Coturnix japonica: one gene and its partner. The protein of the gene in region 2 purifies or fractionates together with the protein of the main gene of each other region. This does not show direct contact. Links are inferred from orthologs where the notes say so. Each region holds a gene or a part of one and is shown on either strand. Other genes may lie near its edges.

Region 1 (9,882 bases), on a different chromosome or scaffold from region 2:
GGGTTGGAAGGGACCTCAAGGATCATGTAGTTCCAACCCCCCTGCCTGGCAGGGCCACCAAACATACACCTTTACTAGATCAGGTTGCCCAGGGCCCCGTCCAACCTGGTCTTGAACACCTCCAAGGACGGGGCATCCACAACCTCCCTGGGCAGCCTGTTCCAGGGCCTAACCACTCTCCTAGTGAAGAACTTCCCCCTAACATCCAACCTAAATCTTCCCTCTTTTAACTTAAAACCATTTCCACGTGTCCTGCTATTGTCAGCAATATTGTCAGAAACCTGTTAAATGCAGATGTATGCTATCATGGATGTGTTTTGTTTAAGATTTATTGGTGCTTGTATCTGCCCAAACAGAAAGCAATGGCTATTTCCTACATGTGTGGGAGAAGAAATGGGTCTGACTGCTATCTCTGAATTCAGACTTTCTCATCTGGCTTCAAGATTGCATTTAAAAATAGATTAATACAGACAATCTAGTCTCTATTCCATAACTTTACCTCTTGGATTTGGCCAAACCTCTTTTGCCGATTAATCCCTGGTTAAGATGTTATGAGGAAAAAAAAACACAACAGAACAAGCAGGTTAAGAAGCAAATCATGCAAATTAAGGCAAAACTATGCAAGTATTTATGACTGTATTGTGAGGGACATAATACAGCTCAGAACTGCAATGTGTTACGTATTCCAGACATTTTGCAAATACACAGAATATCACCACACATACTTACATCTTTGAGCATAGCACAACGTTTTTAACAGTTAGATGGAATGCACGTCATCTACATGTGGTTACAAATTGTGGTCTAAGCCCACACATTTTGTAACCTATAGAACACACAGTTGCAAAACTTCATTCTCAGGCAATGCAGCAATATACTCGGCTTCAACATTTATCATACATATATCCAGAATCCATTGATGCCAGCTATATTTCTCCTTCCAACCCCAACCCCCCACACACCATCACAGAATGATTTCTCCAAAGGCGTCTCAGTCACCTGAATTGCTCTCTATGCATCCAAAACTGTTCTACAACAATGAACTGGGCTATTTGAGCAGAGTATGAAGAATCCAAGTGGAAGAAGAAGGAGCAGAAAACTTTCCCTGCTCAGTCAAGGATTTGTGTCAAGGTTTAAGATATAGTCTACCGGCATTTCAATTATACCTGGTCAAATTTCACCACACTTGTTAGTACAATTGCCACAAGCAAAGCATGGAAGCAATGCCATGGATTGTCCTGCTTTTCATGCCTTAACCTTCCCTGTTAACCCGCCTGAAGGAGGGCATGAGCATTACATCACATTGCAACCACATCTGTTTCATTGGTATACAGGTACTCACAGAGCAGCAGCACCAGAGATGATCTCAATAAGCTCCTTAGTAATAACTGCTTGACGGGTACGGTTGAATGTCAAAGTCAGTTTGTCGATCATCTCAGCTAGGAAAAAATTAAAGTTGGAATTTAAGCATATAATGACCATTCAAATACAAGTTCTATGAATAGAATACCACGTAGACTTGTAGATCCATGTGTATGATCAAGTGGCTTACTGGACTTTCCAGTTTTCCCTACAGATAACACTACTAACAGACAATCTAGAAAGGGGATAATTTGTCTTGAGGCATCAGAATTAAACATATGAAGAACAGCCGACAGACTAGTAAATATCTTGTAGCACATCACTCATTTTTAAATGAATTCCAATTGTGTATTATTGCATCGTTAATGTCCCTCAATCAACAACAGTATTTCCTTCAAGTTCTGTGTTCTGGCAAACGGAGCCATTCTTCCTATTTTTTAATGGAGACTTTATCACTACATTCAAGATAAAGAGATCAGCAGAGACCCATACTTACAGTTCCAGGTAACCCTACTGCATAAAACATAAGCTTCATTCAGCCATCAGTATTTTTTATGCATCGCTATCTTCTTGAAGCTGGAATCATATCACTATGCCACATTAAATGCTATTAGCCATTGCCCACCGATACCAACTGCAGTGCACTCAGTTTGGACACTTTACAAGGTATACCAGCATATTCTCATCTTCATATTCTCAAAATCCTCAGACCAGCAACACGACAGACACCAACACCTAGAAAATCCATATAGACTTACAAGCATTTTTGCTTGCGTTGTCCATAGCAGTCATCCTAGCGCTCTGCTCGCTGGTGGTAGATTCTTTCAGGGAGTAGTACAGAATATTTGCTAGTGTAAATTCCTGGTAGTTTCTCAGCACATCAGCATCAATGTCATCATAGATACTCAAGCTTTCTGAAAAATAGGAATGAGTCGAGTCAGAACTGCAGGCTGTACTAATTGTAATGATACAACGTCATATAGAAAACGACTAAATTAGCTTTTCTCCATTTACTACATCCCTCCATGTCACCTTACGTGTACTTTCACAAGTACTTACCAGAACCAGCAACTGTTTCAAAAGAGTAGATAGGTTTTTCATCAGTCTTGTAGGAGATGACAGATCTGTATAAAAAAATAGCATAATAGGTTTTATTTGACTGAAGAGCCTAAACTGAGCATTTGATATCAAGTTAGGACACAGACAACTTCTGGCCTTCCAATTCTTCAAAGTCTTGTTGTGCTCCCCATGAGGAGATATCAAATAACCTAAGGATATAATAATGTACTGACTGTAAACACAACAGCGCATGCTATAGAAAATGTGTTTAGAAACTATAGTGCTTCGAAACACTATAGAATTTCAACCATATCTATTAAAAAATACCCATGGCAAACATGTTCTTCACACATAATAAGAAGATGCACTGACTTTTCAACAAAATCTGAACAGTTTTCCCATTTTACTTAATTCAACCAATATGCTGTTTTGAAATCTATTCAACATCTTCCTAGTGCAGCTTCAGTTTTATCTTACCTGAACCGATTGTAGATGACAGAGCCTTCATCAAATTCATATCCAGAGTTTAATAACTCTGAAGCAATGATTGAAGCATCTCCAAAACTGGGAGGTCTCCGTCCCACTTCTTTGAATGTCATCAAGAAGTAATTGCCATGTGTCCTGTAGTAATGTGAAATATGCGTCAGGAGCAAGTTGGTGCTCCAATGCACAGCTGTGTGGCACCAAGAGGCAAGCAGCAGCACTAACTGCTAATGTTCAACAACTAAGCATTTCACTTGGCTTTCCTGCCCCCATCCCTCAGTTAAATTATGATACACCAGCATGACCAAAACCAAACCCCTCTCCCTTTTTACCTTTGAAGTAGGCCTCTAATCTTGTCGCCTACACCAACCACCATAACTTCCTTCCCTGCATTGGAGAGGTTGGTAATCTCATTCTTCAAGGTCTTAGCAATAGATGTATGGATAGCACCACACAGACCTCGATCAGAGGACACGCCAATAAGGAGATACTTCTTCTTGTCCTCGGGTGCCTTAATTTCTGCTTTCTCATACAGTGCTGAGGAAAAACAAAACGAACAAGATGGGCAAGATATTCAAGGGGGTCAAGAAGAAAATCTGTCCTATCAAAACATCTTCAACTAACTTCAAATTTCATAAATCATTTCCAAATTGTTTCAAATCGCAACCAGATGCATTTTTATCTCCATCACAATCATTCAAGCTTGCAGGTTAGCTGACCAAAGGTGATAAAGAAGTAATTCAAAGCCACCTGCATCTTTGTGTCAGGTATTATAGTGAACTACAAGTAAACAGTGACACTGACTGCAAGTGCAATGTTTGAGAAGCATGTGCAGTTCAAGCATTTAAAAGTATGTTTGGTAGCAAGAGCCTTCTCTCACCCAGTGCTCCTGTTCCATATATTCTAGCAGGCTTCAGCTCCCTCTCAGCTCTTGCATACTTTGCTGCAGAAACCATCTTCATGGACTTTGTAATTTTCTGAATGTTCTTGATGGATTTCAAGCGCCTGGTAACTAACAAGGTTAAAAGCTGAAGGTCAAAATTGGGCTACATTGAGCACAAGAGATTGAAAGCAAACAATAAAACATAAGCAATGGCTATCCAGAAATCTCTCCTGAAGTTCATAGAATCATAGAATGGCTTGAGTTGAAAAGGATCACAATGACTATCTAGCTTCAACCCCCCTGATGTGTGCAAGGTTGCCAACCATCAGACCAGGCTGCCCAGGGCCCCATCCAACCCAGCCTTGAATACCTCTAGGGACGGAGCATCCACAACCTCTCTGGGCAGGCTGTGCCATCACCTCACCACTCTCATAGTAAAGATCTTCCCCCTGAAGGGGGGGGAAGTTTATGAAGGACACTTGTTTGACACAAGTGCTGGAGGCTCACATGTCAGTGTTACAATCCACAACCATCACTTCATCCGACAGAAGCCAAGTGAAATCATGCTTTAATTTAACACCTCCTGCATTTCCCTTCTGTTCAAAGCAGACAAAAGCAGCACTTACTGTCTTTCAGAGTTGCCATATTCCTGACTTGGCCCCTGGAAGTGAAAGCAGGAGTGATTAGGAGAGATCATTAGCTCTCCAGCAAGCAAATATCCATCAAGGTCAGGTCTCTTCAGAGAGCATATAGAAACACCCATTTCTTAGTAAGGACACTTCAAAACGAGGCCTTATAACAAACCTTTCACATTTTTTGTGTGACAACGAAAACAAAGGCCACGCAGAAGGGCGTCAGAAGGGCAAATACACACGAAAAACAGAGCTTTCTTTCTTTTTTAAACGATTAAAACAACGAAACAGCGGGGCTCGCAGCCATCAGCAGGACGTCCCTGCAGTGCCATTCACCTCACACAGAGCGCCCTTCCACCTCCAACCAGCCTCAGGCCCGCAAAGCGGAGGACAGAGCCCTCCATCCTCCCCACATCCCCGCGTTCCCTCGTTCCTCCACGAACCCCCAGCCCCTCTCAGGCACAACCCGGTAACCACAACCCGCTGGTTTCCCCCCTTTACCATTGCGGCTGGTACAGCACCACGGCGGAGCCCCGCGCGAACATGGCGGCGCCTGCAGCCCAGCTCTGCTGAAGGTCAGCCCGCCCGTCCCGCGCAGGCGCCCGGAGCCTCGATGATCGCTTCCGAGGTCGCTCCGTCTCATCCGGGACGAGAAAATAAGGGGTGAAAAAAGGTAGAAAACGCCATGGGGAAGTCGGATTTCCTCAGCCCAAAGGCTATCGCCAACCGCATTAAGTCTAAAGGGCTGCAGAAGCTACGCTGGTACTGCCAGATGTGCCAGAAGCAGTGCCGAGATGAGGTGAGGTGAAGCGGGCCGGGCTGTGTTTGGTGCTTTGGGGTCCTCCGTTTCTCTGTGGGGTTCCTGATCCCTCATGTATGATATGAAGGGCTGAGTGGGGTTTGAGGGGTTCCCAACCACCTGGGCTAGGGATATATGCCATTATAAACCCTGTGGGGGAAAGCCCTGAAGTGTTTTGGAGAAAACATGGTCCTGAGCTTTTCTTAACCCCATTAGGATGCCCTGAAAGGGTTAGGAATTATTCCATCAGGAGTCTGGGGTAGTTGTGCTTTGGACATGCAAGCCTTGAAATCACAAGCAAGGTCTCTTTCCAACCTTCTGATTCTGTCTGTTTCTTCCCTCCTTCTCCTGTTATAAAGAGATGATTTTTCTCTGATGCTTCCCCCTGTTTTCACTTCTCTGTTCATTTGAAGGGTGTAGCCAAACCTCCAACATCTGAGTGCATGTCAGGCGGGGAATCAGCAAGTATTTCCACTCCTTTTGCCTGGATAGATGGACCAGGTGGTGCCACATCGATCCCATTCCACAAGGGAGCAAGAGGACCTTTGTTATGTCCTAGTTAGGAGAAACAGCCAATCTGTATTGCTAGACTGTGGTTGGGTTTGAGTGTTTTATGTGAAAGCCTCCAAGAGATTTCACTTAGAAAACAATATCTTAATTTACTTTTAAAGCTGTGTGTTGCAAATGGAGACAAAGGCAGATAAAATGTTTTTCTTTATTTTCCAGAATGGCTTCAAATGTCATTGCATGTCTGAATCTCACCAGAGGCAATTACTGCTGGCTTCTGAAAATCCTCAGCAATTCCTGAACTACTTTTCTGAGTAAGTTTGCCATGTATTCTTACCCATGTGTCAAATCTGCACGGCCATACCCCTAAAGCCCAGTTATGTCCCATTGAAGACACTTGATTCTGATGTATTTTAGTGTCGGCTGTTTCATATAGTGACTATGTGAAAAGTTTGCTTTTGAAAGCATGTAAGTGTAAGGGTGCTGTGATATTTAAAAGTTGACAATTCTATCTCATTTAACTTCTTTTTTTATCCCAAATGTGGCAATTTTTATCCCAGATCCTTTTATTTTTTTAATCCCAAACTTGATAATTTTATTCCATGCCCGAGTCCTGTTTTAATTTGCTCTTCATTATGAAGCATGTCACTGCTTGTGTCCCAGCTAAGTGACTGTCAGAGCTGCAGAATTACAAAGAGCTAAAAGAACCATCACATGAAGATAAGGAGTCAGCTGTATGAATAACATCCCACTGTTCCCCTGATCCCTTTGTCCATCTGACCTACCTGACTGCAGGGCTGACTGGAACTGTCTTCAGCGTGAGGCTGAAGGGAGGCTTTATCTTTAAGCCATTGAATTAGCAGGGAGATGAGTGATCTGTCTACCCAGTCTACCACTACTTCGCTTTGTTCTGCCTCGTGTTTTGTGTCAGTGTTAGTCAACCTTGGGAGATACCTGGTAATGAAATACCAGCAATTAGTGGGAAGTGTTTAGAGTTCAGTTCTTTCCATTTTATCCCTTTGAAAGGGTATTATCCTTTAGAAGATTAAACTTGTGTGTGCATGTACCATACTGTGTCTCTTTGTGTATACAGGCTGCACTTCACGCTGTCTTACCAAAGGTGGGAAACAGGTGTCTGAACTTCATCGTACTCAGTTCAAAAGAATAGTCTATACTGCAGATATTTCATTATTAATGACAATTGAACATTTCTGTGTAATTACATAATTTTGGTTTAAATCCTTTTCTTTATATCCCCTAAGGGAGTTCCGGAATGATTTCTTAGAACTGCTCAGGAGACGATTTGGTAAATATTTTACTTTTTTTTCTTTTGCTTTTAATGCCTTTTGATTTTGTGCAGAAAGTTTTGGTTGGTTTCTCCTGGGTCCCATACTTACACTTCATAATAACTCTGTTTTAGGAACAAAGAGAGTCCACAATAACATCGTGTACAACGAATACATCAGTCACCGAGAACACATCCACATGAATGCAACGCAATGGGAGACACTGACTGATTTTACAAAATGGTTGGGGAGAGAAGGTAAATATTGTTGTTATGGGTTATGACATTATAAAACTATTGGGTAGTTGCTTTGTTGATGAGTAATCAGTAAGCATTTGTGTTAATTCTCCTGTTTCCTTTTCTTCCATAACCCTCCCCTCCTGCATCTATATTAACACATATCCAAATAGAGTTCTGTATTAAGCAATGGAATTTCCTTATGAAAAGTGGCAGAGATCTGAGATAAATGTATCACTTACAAACCTTTCCTTGTTTTTTCCTTGTAGCTGTTGCTAAATTCTAAGTCAGCTTCCAACAGTTGTCATTTAAAAAGTGTGAACTATGATAGGACATTTCTTACAACTCCAGAATCCCTCAGTATATGTGGTGACAAGAAGCGTTATATTGTTTTCATTCCTATCCTAATACAAGCTTCAAATCTGACATCTGCAGTTTTGCTTTCCGTGGGAGGAGCAGAGGTTATGTCATACCACAGTGCTGTGTAATGTTTAAATTGGTTTCAGTCCTCTGTGTGCTACAGGATACATTCATGAGTCACAGAGTGCTTGAAAAGTCACTCTAATGAGTGCCAGTAACAACAGTGTTGCACAGTAAAGTTTCCTATAGTTTGATGCTGTTGCTCTGTAGTGTTTATATATGTTAGAGTGCTGTTTTCTTCCCTGTTAAAACAATGAGAAGGAAATGTTTTCTTCCATAAGGAAAGTGATACAGAATGTTCCATCCTCTTTTACTACATATTTTGGCTCATTTCCAAATAGAACTTGCTAGCTTAAGGGCATAAGTAGTTACTAAGGGCAATTTAAAGTCAATTTTACAAGTCCGGTAAGAGATACATTGTAAAGGTACATCTGGTGAAGTTTTTACATTCTTATATTGAACGTGGCCTAGGAAAATGATGGGTTTTTTTGTTACTTTCTTGTTTTTGTTAGTATTCATCTTACTTTGTCTTGTGTTGGGTTTTTAGGCCTTTGTAAGGTTGATGAGACTCCAAAAGGCTGGTATATTCAGTACATTGATAGGGACCCAGAGACCATTCGCAGGCAACAAGAACAAGAGAGAAAAAAGAAACAAGACCTCGATGATGAAGAAAAAACAGCAAAATTCATTGAACAGCAAGTTAGAAGAGGTTTGGAGGGGAAAGAACTGGTGAGAAAAATTATCTATCAATCTTCAGCTCAAAAGTCCTCTCAGTTAAGTCAGTAATGCTTCCCTGGTCTTTCCACTGCTATTTCCATTGCAGCCAGCTAGAAGGTGATGAGTAATCTTTGTGCAGTGGGTTGTGAGCTGATTGCTAGTTCAAACGGGGCAACAGTGGGTTATATGTGGCTGCACAGTTGGTTGTTCCTAAACTGAGAAATATTCTTCTCGCAGATAATTCTCATGCCCATTTTGCCCACCTTGTTTCAGTTGAAATTGCTGCTTCCTCAAATAACCAACCTGAAGGTTTTTGCAGCAGATAAACATCAAGGTCCTGTTTGGAATCAGTTTCAGAAAAGGAAAGTAGAGCTTTCAGCTCCTTTTAGATTTGACACTGTTTTGAAATGTATTGAAACTATTCCTTATGACTATATCTGGTCCCAGCCATTTCAGATTATGGTTTAGACCTTCTTCTCTCATGCTTAAGTCACCACATTACTTCACCTACTTTCTGAGTTTGCTGTTAGACATTTATGAAAGATGATAACTGACGAGTTACTATGAGTAATAGTTTTCTTAGCAATTTTAAAACGCTGAATTTAAGGTAGGAGACTAAACAGTAACTAAAGTGATGTCTTCGTTTGTCGTATTTCACAACCTTACAGGGCTGCAAATAATAAGTATGGTAGGGAGGCTGAGATTACCAGGAAAGCTAAAATGATCAAATACCCACAGTACAGAGTGTTTATTCGCATAGCCATGATGTGGAATTTGGGAACTTCTTTGGCATTATCCCTTGACTTCCATGCACGTTGTTGCCTGGGATTGGGACCTCCCATTTGATTCTGGGTATCGATAGATATATTTAAATGCTGTTGTAAACTATTATCTTTTTCTTAATTTAAAACTAATTGAAATTTAAATGGTCTGAGCCTTTGGTACTAAAAATTTGGAAAGATTCCATGATTTTTTTCCTTTTTTAGATTATCAGACTGTCCAAAAACCAGTCTGATCATGCTTGTTCAAAATGAGCAAACTTGCAGTAAGGCCACTTTCCCTTTGATGCTGAAATTAAACAAGTATAGACAACATCTCTGTAAAGAGTGTTAATTAGATAATTTTGCACAGGAGCCTATAATGAGATAACGTTTTCAATTTATAATCTTATAAATCAAGCCAGACTGAATATTACAGTTATTAGATGATCTTTGTCAATAAAATTCAGGCAGTCAACGATCACTAAAAAATGTTATCCTGGCTCAGCTTTCTGTTTTGCTCTTGAAATCTATTAAGTTTTCTTTTGGCAGGAGGAACCAGTCTATACTGAACTGAACAGAGAAAATGAGGAAGAAAAAGGTAACCAGATTTTGATACGTGCAGTTTTCTTGAACTGAATCTGATTTCATGATTGAAATGAGAGAGTGCTAAAGCATGCTCAGTGTTTCATGGAGTGCTTTGAGATGAGTTTCAAAAAGTACTGAAAATAGGAAAATGC
Region 2 (10,017 bases):
GGTACCACCCCACGAGCTGCAGATAGGCATTCCTTTGGGCAGCTGCTTGGCCCAACAAGCCGTTGCCTGTTGAAGCAGGATATTGCTATTGCATAAGCGAGGAATCCCTATCCTGGAGGGAACAAACTGGATCTGGTGGCTGAATCAAAGCCAACGATGTTCACAGAACGCACTGAAAGCAAAGTGCACGCTGCAGTGCAGCTTCAGCTGGGGACATTACCTGCGTGGAATCACAGAATCATTAAGGTTGGAAAGGACTTCCAAGGTGACTGAGTCCAACCCCACCCCACTGTGTCCCCCAGTGCCACATCCCCACAGCTCTGGAACACCACCAGGGTTGGGGACTCCCACCTCCCAACCCCCAGCCAGCTGTGCCACTGCATCACTGATCTTTGGATCACATCAGGCCTAAATGTCTCCATTTCTTACAGAATTGTGAATGCTGGGATTTAAAGTTTGCAAGCACTGCTCTCTACAGGACAAACCATCTCAACAGCGGATCAGGTGTGATTCTGGAAACACAAAACCATCCTTTAGAAATCCACCAATGAACAAACCAAGTACTTAAAAACATCTCTGAGGAGATCCTCTGCTCCTCAACTGAGGTCCCCAAGAGCACAGCACCACGAGCTGGAGATCACAGCCTGGGGCAGAGCTCAGTGGAATTAATAGGGCCCCCAGCACAGGATATGGAGGGATGGGTCACTAAGGCTGAGGAATGCATCTTCCCAGCCAGAGCAGCCCGGTCTCAGGAGAACCCTCTGATGGGTATTTCCATTTAGCATCATCAAAAATTCAGAATGCTACAATCTCTCCATTGGACAATCAGACCACACTGCTCCTCCAGCTGCACATTGGCATCTATCAGACATATTTTACCAGCAGCCCCTTTGAGTCACTCCATAAAAATCAAACTATTTCCTCGAAAATTGGAAGCCTTGTGAGTTTGGGTTGGGCTGAGCAGAGCGTTTGTATTTGCCAGGTGGACAGGCCAGGTCAGGCTGCAGCACAGACAGGGCTGCCACGGGACAGCAGGAGATGCTGAGATCTCCACTTAGGCAATTACTATAATTAAGGGACAATACTGGAAGCCAAATCCCTGTTGTAAGGCAAATCAGGTAAAACACACAGAACAAGGTGCTTGCAATTGCGAGTGTGGGAAAGGTGATGAAATATGCACGTGCTGGTTAACTCTGCTGTTGTCATCATCAGCAAGAAGAAAAATAATTATTTCTGTTTGCATGGGCTAATCAAAGCCTCTTGTTTAACAGATGGAAAACAAAACTGATTACATCCTGTGTGAGTGCAGGTTGGAAGACAAGCATGCTTAGCGGGGATTCAAACTCTTAAAGGATCAAGGCATGGCCGTGGCCAAGTGCCCTTGCTTTTCACCAGTAGGATCTCAGCACATTAACTCAGATTAGGGTAGGAGTGAAATGAAATCATTGCTCTCATCCTTCTCCAATTGTGCAAGCATCTCAGAGTGACCACATATACCAGCTCCAGCACAAAGCAGACCAGGGAGGTCACGTACTACATGTTTAAGTAGTAAAATATTTCCATGTTCTTGAATGGGTAACACTGCCATGCGAGTCGTGACTGAGGCACCCACAGCCCCAGCCAAGATTTCTCTGAACACAAGGCAGCCCAGCAGAAGGCACTGAAATATTTCCCAGTGTCACAGATGGCAGTTTCACTCTGCAGGGTGGGTCTGGGGATGAAAGCAAACTTGGCCCCAGCAGACAGCAAAAGCCATCAGGGAGTCCTTTGTAAATGTGAGTCTGTCTCTGTGATGGGTTACTCTCTTACTTGATGCTTCCCTACACAGACTGATCAACTACATGACACTTAAACGAGGGGAGGAGCTCTCAAAAAAAATTAAGAATATAACCAATGGATGATTAAGCTTCCAACAGGACAATGGGAGTCTATCAGATTTGAGGTTAAGAAAACAAAAAGGCTGGATTTAATGTTACTCTAGTCACATTTTTCCTAATAAACTTGAACCTGCGCAGCATTCCTTGACTGATACCCACAGGTCTAAATGCTTCTGCTCCCTGTGCCCGTGAGGATGAGCACTACAGCTCTGGTGCACAGCAGATGCCAAGGGACGCATCTCTATGATACATGGGCTGGGAGGAACCGCATCAGGCTGTGACACCAACCAATGCTGGTATCACCACGTGAGGATCTTCCGCCTCAAGACCAAAAAAAACCTGATACACTTCCTATTCAGCTCCTTTATGGAAAGAAAAACTATTCCTTGGTATGAAGTAGCTCTTAAGCACATTTCTGGGCTCGCAGATATGCAGCCATTTATTTCCCCTTGTGGTTTATCTGCAATAGCCCACAGCGCTCAATGTGTGGGCACAGCCCCCTGCCCTGCCAGGTGCTGCACTCACTGCTGTGCCCAGCACTGCCTGTGCAGTTTGGTTTTCCCCACTCACATCTCAAGGCCATTTGAGCCCTGGTGGCAGCGTGCTCAGAGTCCCAGTTCTGCAGAGACGTGAAAATAAATGAAGCCACAAATCACCAGGTAGTGCCATGGGGTCACACACCACGTCAGGCACAGATATGAGCTTTAGGAGATGCCTGAAGTTTGTAAATGCTCTGCATTATGGAACAGAGCACACGATAAGATTCTCTGCCCCAACGTGTGCTGTGCCATCACACATCCACAGAGCTGCATGGCTCAAGATTTACAGCCCTGCAGTCTGCAGTTTCATTCATGCAGGTAATAGTGAAAATGTGCAGCGTCCTTGTGATGATCTACAGCACCTGCAGGACCACAGCCTTCCCACTGCAGCTCTGCTTTCAAACTACATGCACCATAGAGCAGATTTCATCTTTAAGGATGGATTGATGCCATGGATCTGTAGCACAACAAACACTGGAGCAGAAGGGAAATAAACAGCTTAAAAGCAAACGTAAATACTGTGATTTAGCCTGAACTAATATTTACAGAATTAAAGAAAGAAAGAGTCTGCTCTTAATTGCACGGGTATAAATTATGAGCAGTGTTGTACCAAACCCCCTAATTAAGCGATCACACATAAATATCAATTTAACAGAGCTGGGGATGCCGCAGCCTGTTGTAGCTGCTGTTTGCATTAGAAGTGCAAGGAGGAAGAAGTGCACATGCCGTGCATTGAATTAAGAAATGACAGTAACTCTCGGCTCCTTCCAGCCGCCTGCAGACCAGGAAAGGAGCAGCGCTGCTGTCACTCCCAGCAGTTCAGGGCTCTCCGTGCACCCAAGGGGGCTCAGCTCAAACGTGCTCAGGGACACATCCCTTGTGCCCGGCCCCTCTGCAGCAATGCCTCACATCCACCAATAGGGGTGACTCATTGAAACAACACCTCCCCTCCCAGCACGTTTTGACACCTTGCTCCTCCAGCACCAAAGAAGAGCAATATGGGTTCTCTCTCCCTGCAGCACACATAGGTGAGGAGCTCCCTGACTGCATCCCATGGGGACATCACTCCTGCTGCCAGGGCAACCCCATTAATGCCCCACATCCCCATTGATGCCCCACATGTCATCACAGTCCCAAACAGGCTGGAATAAAGGGTGCAGGCTGTGGATATGTGTATGCCTTCCACAGAGCATTCTGGGTGTGGGGATTATAGTAGGTTGCCTTCATAAGGCCTTTTTGGAAGGAACTCTGAGCAGATCACACTGATTAAATTCCCTGAGGCAGACGAATCACAGAATCATTAAAGTTGAAAAGATCATCCAAGACCATTAAATCCAACCCCAGCCCCACTGCGCCCATTGATGTGTCCCCAGGTGCCACGTCCCCACATTCTGGAGCAGCTCTGCGGATGGCGACCCCCGCTCCCTGCGCAGCCCATGCCTGTCCATCACCGATGGAAATCGCTCCTGATATCCAACCCGAACCCTCGAGCATCCCCTGCACTGAGCAGAAACCTCCAAGTGCTCCTGACCCCCATCACAGCGCGGTGTCAGCATCGCCACGAACATTCCCCACAATATTCCGCGGCGTGCACGGCTCGGGCAGGATGAGTCAGCTCTGCTTCGCGTTCTGACGTTTTTCTCTCTTTTTCCTTTTTTTTAAACCAAACCCCCCATGTCGGACGGTCTCCATCACCCTCCAGCAGCTGTTGTACCCAGCGAGGCTGTGACGATGCACAATGGAGGCAGCTCCCACCGCAGCCGCCCAGAGCTCCCAGTGCAAACCCGACTCGTGCACGTTTCCAGACGGCCATTTCCCCCCACCGCGAGAACTGAACTTGAAGAATAAACGCAAGTGAAACCAACCAGCGAAGGGCCGCGGCTCGGCCGCTCTGAGCTTCCGAGGTGACCCGAGGCCACCGCGCTGCCCCCCCGCGTCCCCACGCAGCCGGAGCGGGGCAGTGCAGGTGCCGGGCGCGGCCGCCGACCTTCGCTCGGCGCAGGGGCAGCGCAGCGCCGGGAGCCCCGCGGCTCACACCGCCCCCAGCCGCGGCTCCCGACCCGGGGGGCTCCGTCACGCCCGGCCTCAGCTGTCACGGCCCCGGCGCCGCGCCGTGATTTCGTAACCGGGTGCCGAACATTACGTAAGAAAACAGTTATTCCCGATGTGACGCGGCTCGGAGGGCAAAAAGAACAACTGCCACGAGCCGCCGCCAGCTGCCACCCGGCGCCGGCCGCCCCCCCCCGCACCACGGTGACCCGGCGCTCCGGACCCCCCTGGCCCTACCTGGCCCCGCCGCGGCGGCAGCACCGCGCTGCGCTCCCGCTCCCGGCGCCGCCTCGGGCTCCTGCGGCCCCCCCGGTCCCCGTCCCTGTTCCGGCCCCGGCCCGGCGCCTCCCCGGGCTCTGCGGTGGCGGCTGCGTGACGGCGGGCGGGGACGGCAGGGAGGGGACAGACGGCGGGGGCGGGAAGGGGCGGGCTCTGCCGCCGCACCGGGTGCCGGGAGCCCTCCCCGGGACTCAGCGGCACCGAACGGCCCCGGTTAGATCAGGGCTCAGCACCCCTAAAGCACCTGCGTGGCGCGGCGCTCAGCCCCGGCTGGAAGCTGCGTTGGGTTGGAATTGCCGTTCCCGCAGGTGGCCGGGCGGGCTGTGAGTCAGCAGGCGGCGAATAGCGCGGGGCACGGCCCGGCCGCGGGGCGTGGAGATGCTCCGGTGAACGAGGGCGTTGGGCACCTTTAGAACTGCCTCTTGGAGACGTGAATCAGCCTCAGCTGCGGCTGTGTCCAACCCCACGTCCTCCCCGTGACACAGCGCAGCACAACACCGCTGTCGGAAAGCAGCAGGTGCCGGTGCCGGTGCCGGGCTGCGCACGGGCTGAGATAGGAACCGTCATCTCCGCCCTGCAGGGAGCTCCGAGCGTCCCCCGGAGATAAGCGGCACCAACCCGCCCGGAGAACTGCTGGTCCTGATACCGCCCCTATAGCCGCGGCGTGTGGGGAGGGGGGTTGGCAGGAAAGTCGTTGCAAAGAGTCCACATCCCACCCATGCCAAGTTTTTATATGATTACTTTTAATAACGATTCCTTGCCTGTCTTTTCTCCTTCGCATACCAGGAGCAGACAGCGAGTGGCAGAACTCTTGCTTGGCTCACCCCATTGCTTTCCCAGCAGCACTGCCCCAGAAGTTTGCACAGCTGTGGGTCACAGGGAGATCAGAGTCATCTGCTGGAAAACAAACCCGGAGCACTCAGCACTCAGAAGGGCACCAGCATAAACCAGGGCCCTTAACACAGCCCCAGAGCCGGGCCACGAGCCCAGAGGTGGCTCAGCTCAGCCCATGTCTTGGTCCTGCACTAGGGCTCGGGAGTCACTTCTGCAGTTCACTTCATCCCATTTTTGGGGGTGGATGAGCGTTTCCTATCAGATCAGAGCAGATCTAGTTTCCAGCTGATGGAAAGCTCCCATGTCTGCATTGGAGCAGAACCATAAAGGCCATAAGCAGGCTGTAAAAGAGCAGGTGTGGGAACATGAAGTGCTTGGCAAGGAGCACGTTTCTTGTCTGCAGTCAGGGAGCATAACGAAAAGAAAGAAGAGCACAAGAAGAAGAGCCGAGATCCTCTGCAGAGATACAGCCTATTCCCTCCATCTTTTCCTAACTAACTCACGGGGTTTTTATATCCCAGAGGACTCCTCAGTGAGGGCACGGGTAGGACCGGAGGTGTCTGCGTGATGCGGCAGCGGGTGAAGGAGCTGCAAAGCGGAGCCGCTCCGGGAAGGACCGTTTGCTCCGCTTTCCATAACGCGTATCTGCCATAAGATGGCAGCAGAGCCCTGGGATGGAGCTGGCAGCGGTGACAGCTGCTCTGCAGGGCTCTATTTTCCATACGCTCTATGAGCCGAAAATTGTGCTGGTGATAATCGGGGATTACACCGCGTGTCCCCAAGGGGAAAATCTCTGCTCGTGACGCCACTCGATAGGAAAGAGATTCCTTCAGCAGAATGAGAGCACGCAGATATTTTGGGCACCTCTAGACATCAGACCCCTCTCAAACTTTGCCTGCCTGCTGTTTGGATAATGCTATGTCTTAATTTCATTATCTGAGTGGAAATGGAATAACAGAGAACACAGAAAGATGGATTCATTCCACAAGTAATGAGACCCCAAATAATTCACACACAAGGTCCATCCAAACATTCCTCACCGCTGGAAACTTTGGCTCTTGAGCACCCAGAGAGGTTTGTGCTTGGTGGAAAAATCAAACCTGTTCCTCTCTTTGTTACATAAATCCATCAGCAGGGTTATTTCTCAGCTCAGTGCCGTATCACCAGCGCTGTGTGGCTGTGACCCTGCATTGGGTGCAGTTTCATGCTGTGGGAACAGGGAATAAATGTGAGTCAGGCACAAAGCCATGGGATCAGCACCTTCTGGTGGTGTTCAGCTCTGTGTCTGTTTGGAGCAGTGGTGGTGCTGCTCAGGGCATGGTATAGGCAGCCCTTCTGTGTGTTAAAGTGTGCTCCTTCCCATTCAGTTCTGTCACAACCCAGGGGCAGGAAGCAGTGCTTTCATTCATCATTTTTACGTGGTTTAACCTATGCAAAGTTGTGTGGTTTTTTCTTCTATTTCCAGTAAGAATGATCTGCCTAAAATGGAATTATGAGGGGAAAACACTGCCCAGATGCCCCGTGTTGTGAGTTTTACATCAACAGCTTTGGGCTGATTCAAATACAGCTCCATCCCTATCTCCAAAGGAAGTAAGAAAAGAAGAACACCAGAAAATTAAAGGGGACCACAATAACAGCAAACTCCCCCCGGCTTCTTTTGATCTCAGATAACAGCAGCAGGATGTCCTGACAGCCACGGTGATTTCTGAATCTACACAACCACCTTGTCTTGGAAGCAATGATTTGGTATGTAAGATAAGTGATAAAAACCTGCCAATGTTCCTTGTAGGCTATTTAAATTCAAAGAGCTGCTGTAAAAGGAAGCATTGGTATTAATTTGGCAGATAAGGCTTCCACTTGTGGTCACAGAGCTGCAAACCAATGTGATTAATACAAAGCAGTCTAGCACTTCAGGGTTCCTCTGTACAGTTAAGAACAAAATGCATGAGTGCAAACCTACATGTGGCTGAGCTTTGGGTCTGCATCCTCAGCCCTAAACACAGCTGCATTTCAGTAGCCAATAAAATAGGATGCATCCAACCTGCAGGTCTTTTCCTGTTCTTTGGACAGAAGTGAGTACATAACACAGGACATCCCATGTCTCTGGTGCTGCTCACAATACAATTCTGTTGTTGCCAGATAACTCTGGATACAGTCAGCTCTGGAGATGGTAGAAACTACTATTGGAGAGCAGAGCGAGTTCACCTCCTTAGTGCTAACAAATAACGTTCATTAAGAGGTTGCACATCCCAGAGTAGATAGATACACCCACACAGAAAGGTGTACACAGATGGTTCTTGCACTGTCATTTTACACACAGCTTTCCCATCCTTCACCTCCTTCCCAGGCAGTCTGACAGGGAAGCAATGCACCCACAGGGGACCTTGTGGGAAGGAGCTGGAACAGATGTGGTTGGGGGTGGCAGCGATGGGTTGGTGCTTAGACTTGATGACCTTTTCCAACCTTAATGATCTTATGGGGCCATCAAGCAGCTCTCAAGCTCATTCCACCACTCCCCAATCACGCTGCTCAGACAGCCCCAAATATTCAGGCTGGTCAGCTAACCCCATAGCTGGATGGCAAGAATAGCACAAACATAACATCAGAAACTTGAGAGGAAGGATGACATGGTCAGGAGGCAGCAAGAAAAAAAATACTTTCCTCAGCCCTTTGAGCAAGGCCTGGCATCAGATTAAAGTCACACTTTGAGCGCACTTGTAATTGCACTCCTGGGTGGAAACTGAGAACTGCATTAGCACAAGACAAGTGTGCAGCTGAAGGCAGGGGACTGCTCCATGGAAAAGTGTTTTGTTGTTTTTTCCTGGAAGATGGAGGAAGGTGACTGAGCTGGAAGAGCTGCACCACAGCTGCTCCCAGATCCCCAGAATGGAGCTCTGTGGTTGTTACAGTCCACACCTCCCAGCCCATGTGTTGGGGTATAGGAGATATATATATATATATATATATATATATATATATATATATATATATGGGGGAAAAAAGGAAAAAGAGGATTTATTCCTAAAGGAATATTTCCTACAGCTGGTGGCGAGCAGTGCTATGACCTTCCAGTCACATCTGCCACCCTGCTGAGCCTGGCAGGGCTGAGCAGGGGCTGACCGGAGCCAAGAATAATTAAAACTCTTTAGTTCTGTGTTTACATAAAAACAGAGGACTGATCCTCCTTGGGATTCAGTTTCCTGTTTGCATCCAGCCTGGCCTAAGTCCAGCAAGAAGGACAGTAATAACAGCTTGCTGTAAAGATGTGCATGTTCTTGTCTGGAAGAAATGCAACTCTTTGATCTACTCCACCTTGGACAAGGGAAAGGCAATTTTCCACCTAGCTCTGAGAAACAGCAGTTGTGGTGTGGAAATGCAGCTCCATTACTCTGAGAGGTTCAGTACAGTCCCAGCTCTTACTGGGGGTGTGTCTTTGAGGGGTTTGCCACTGCAGATCTATAATACAATGGCCTGGGAGGCTCCTGAAAGGCCTGAACCTGTCAGAACTGCAGCAGGAATGGGAACAGAAGCCCAGAGAGCAAACTCCAACTGCTGACAAACACACAGCACTGTGCAACAGGAATTCGTGCAATAAACACCAACAGAACAAGGCAGAGGTCAACCAGAACCACAGACTTGAGGCTCCCAGGACAGAGCACAGCAGCATGGCACTTCCCAGGGCAGTATGGATGTTTTGTGCATTCCCTGCCCTCAGAAATAGATTTAGAAGGATGTAACGTGGGGAAGAAACCTCTCGTGCCTGGTTTGCCCTGAGCCAGGACAAGAGCAGCTCACATGTGCCATCTAGTGATGCTGACGCTACATGGAGTGCGGTTTCTCTCAGCAGGATCAGAAATGCTCAGGGAAGTTTGTGGACAAAGGCAGACAGAGAGCAAACTTCAGCCCTCAGAGCACCCCGTCCCACAGTGCTTTATGGTACACAGCATGTGCTTAAATCTTACATGTCCATGGGTGCATATGTCTGGCTTAACTGGAAACTAAACAGTAAGGGAAGGACCAAGACTGAAATCAGAGAATAACACACATAACACACAGTGTTTAAAAGTACATCAAAGATGTGCTGGGACCATTATCCAAAGGCAGAGCATACATGCACACACACCAAAGCCCTGGGGCTGGCAGGACTTACCAGGCCATGAGAGCAGCCTCAGACATTTGGGGCTGGGTGTTAGAGGGATGTGAACCCGCTCTGTCAGTCACACACAGGCACTGGGCTCCAGCAGCCCCCAGAATTCATTCTATCTGTGTCACAGCAAATCTCAGTTCCAACAAGTCCAACGTGGGACAACCACACCTCACACAGGATTGTTACAGCTCACCACTCACAGTAAGAAATACTCTCCCAGAGCACAGAGAAGAGCAAATAGACAATTCCCCCCCCCAAAGCCCTTCTTTCCAGGCACCTTGCCCCTCTCTGC

Evidence for each region.
Region 1: the proteins of VDAC1 (region 2) and ATP5F1C fractionate together in Homo sapiens (co-fractionation; 3 studies listed by BioGRID, with this or other methods). This does not show direct contact. The link is inferred for Coturnix japonica from reciprocal best matches to the Homo sapiens genes VDAC1 and ATP5F1C.

The regions. Positions count from the first base shown.
Region 1 is NC_029516.1:3,686,432-3,696,313, reverse strand, and holds the start of ATP5F1C (ATP synthase subunit gamma, mitochondrial), read right to left. Parts: upstream 5,028-9,882; 5' UTR 4,965-5,027; coding exon 4,921-4,964; intron 4,449-4,920; coding exon 4,414-4,448; intron 3,917-4,413; coding exon 3,785-3,916; intron 3,442-3,784; coding exon 3,237-3,441; intron 3,043-3,236; coding exon 2,899-3,042; intron 2,487-2,898; coding exon 2,422-2,486; intron 2,277-2,421; coding exon 2,121-2,276; intron 1,440-2,120; coding exon 1,343-1,439; intron 538-1,342; coding exon 531-537; 3' UTR 500-530; intron 1-499. Other genes in the region: KIN (DNA/RNA-binding protein KIN17), read left to right, coding at 5,105-5,218, 5,945-6,039, 6,988-7,031, 7,146-7,268, 8,215-8,396, 9,695-9,743.
Region 2 is NC_029528.1:2,139,115-2,149,131, forward strand, and holds the start of VDAC1 (voltage-dependent anion-selective channel protein 1), read right to left. Parts: upstream 4,837-10,017; 5' UTR 4,703-4,836; intron 4,304-4,702; exon of another isoform or gene 4,282-4,303; intron 1-4,281. UniProt on the Homo sapiens protein: Non-selective voltage-gated ion channel that mediates the transport of anions and cations through the mitochondrion outer membrane and plasma membrane.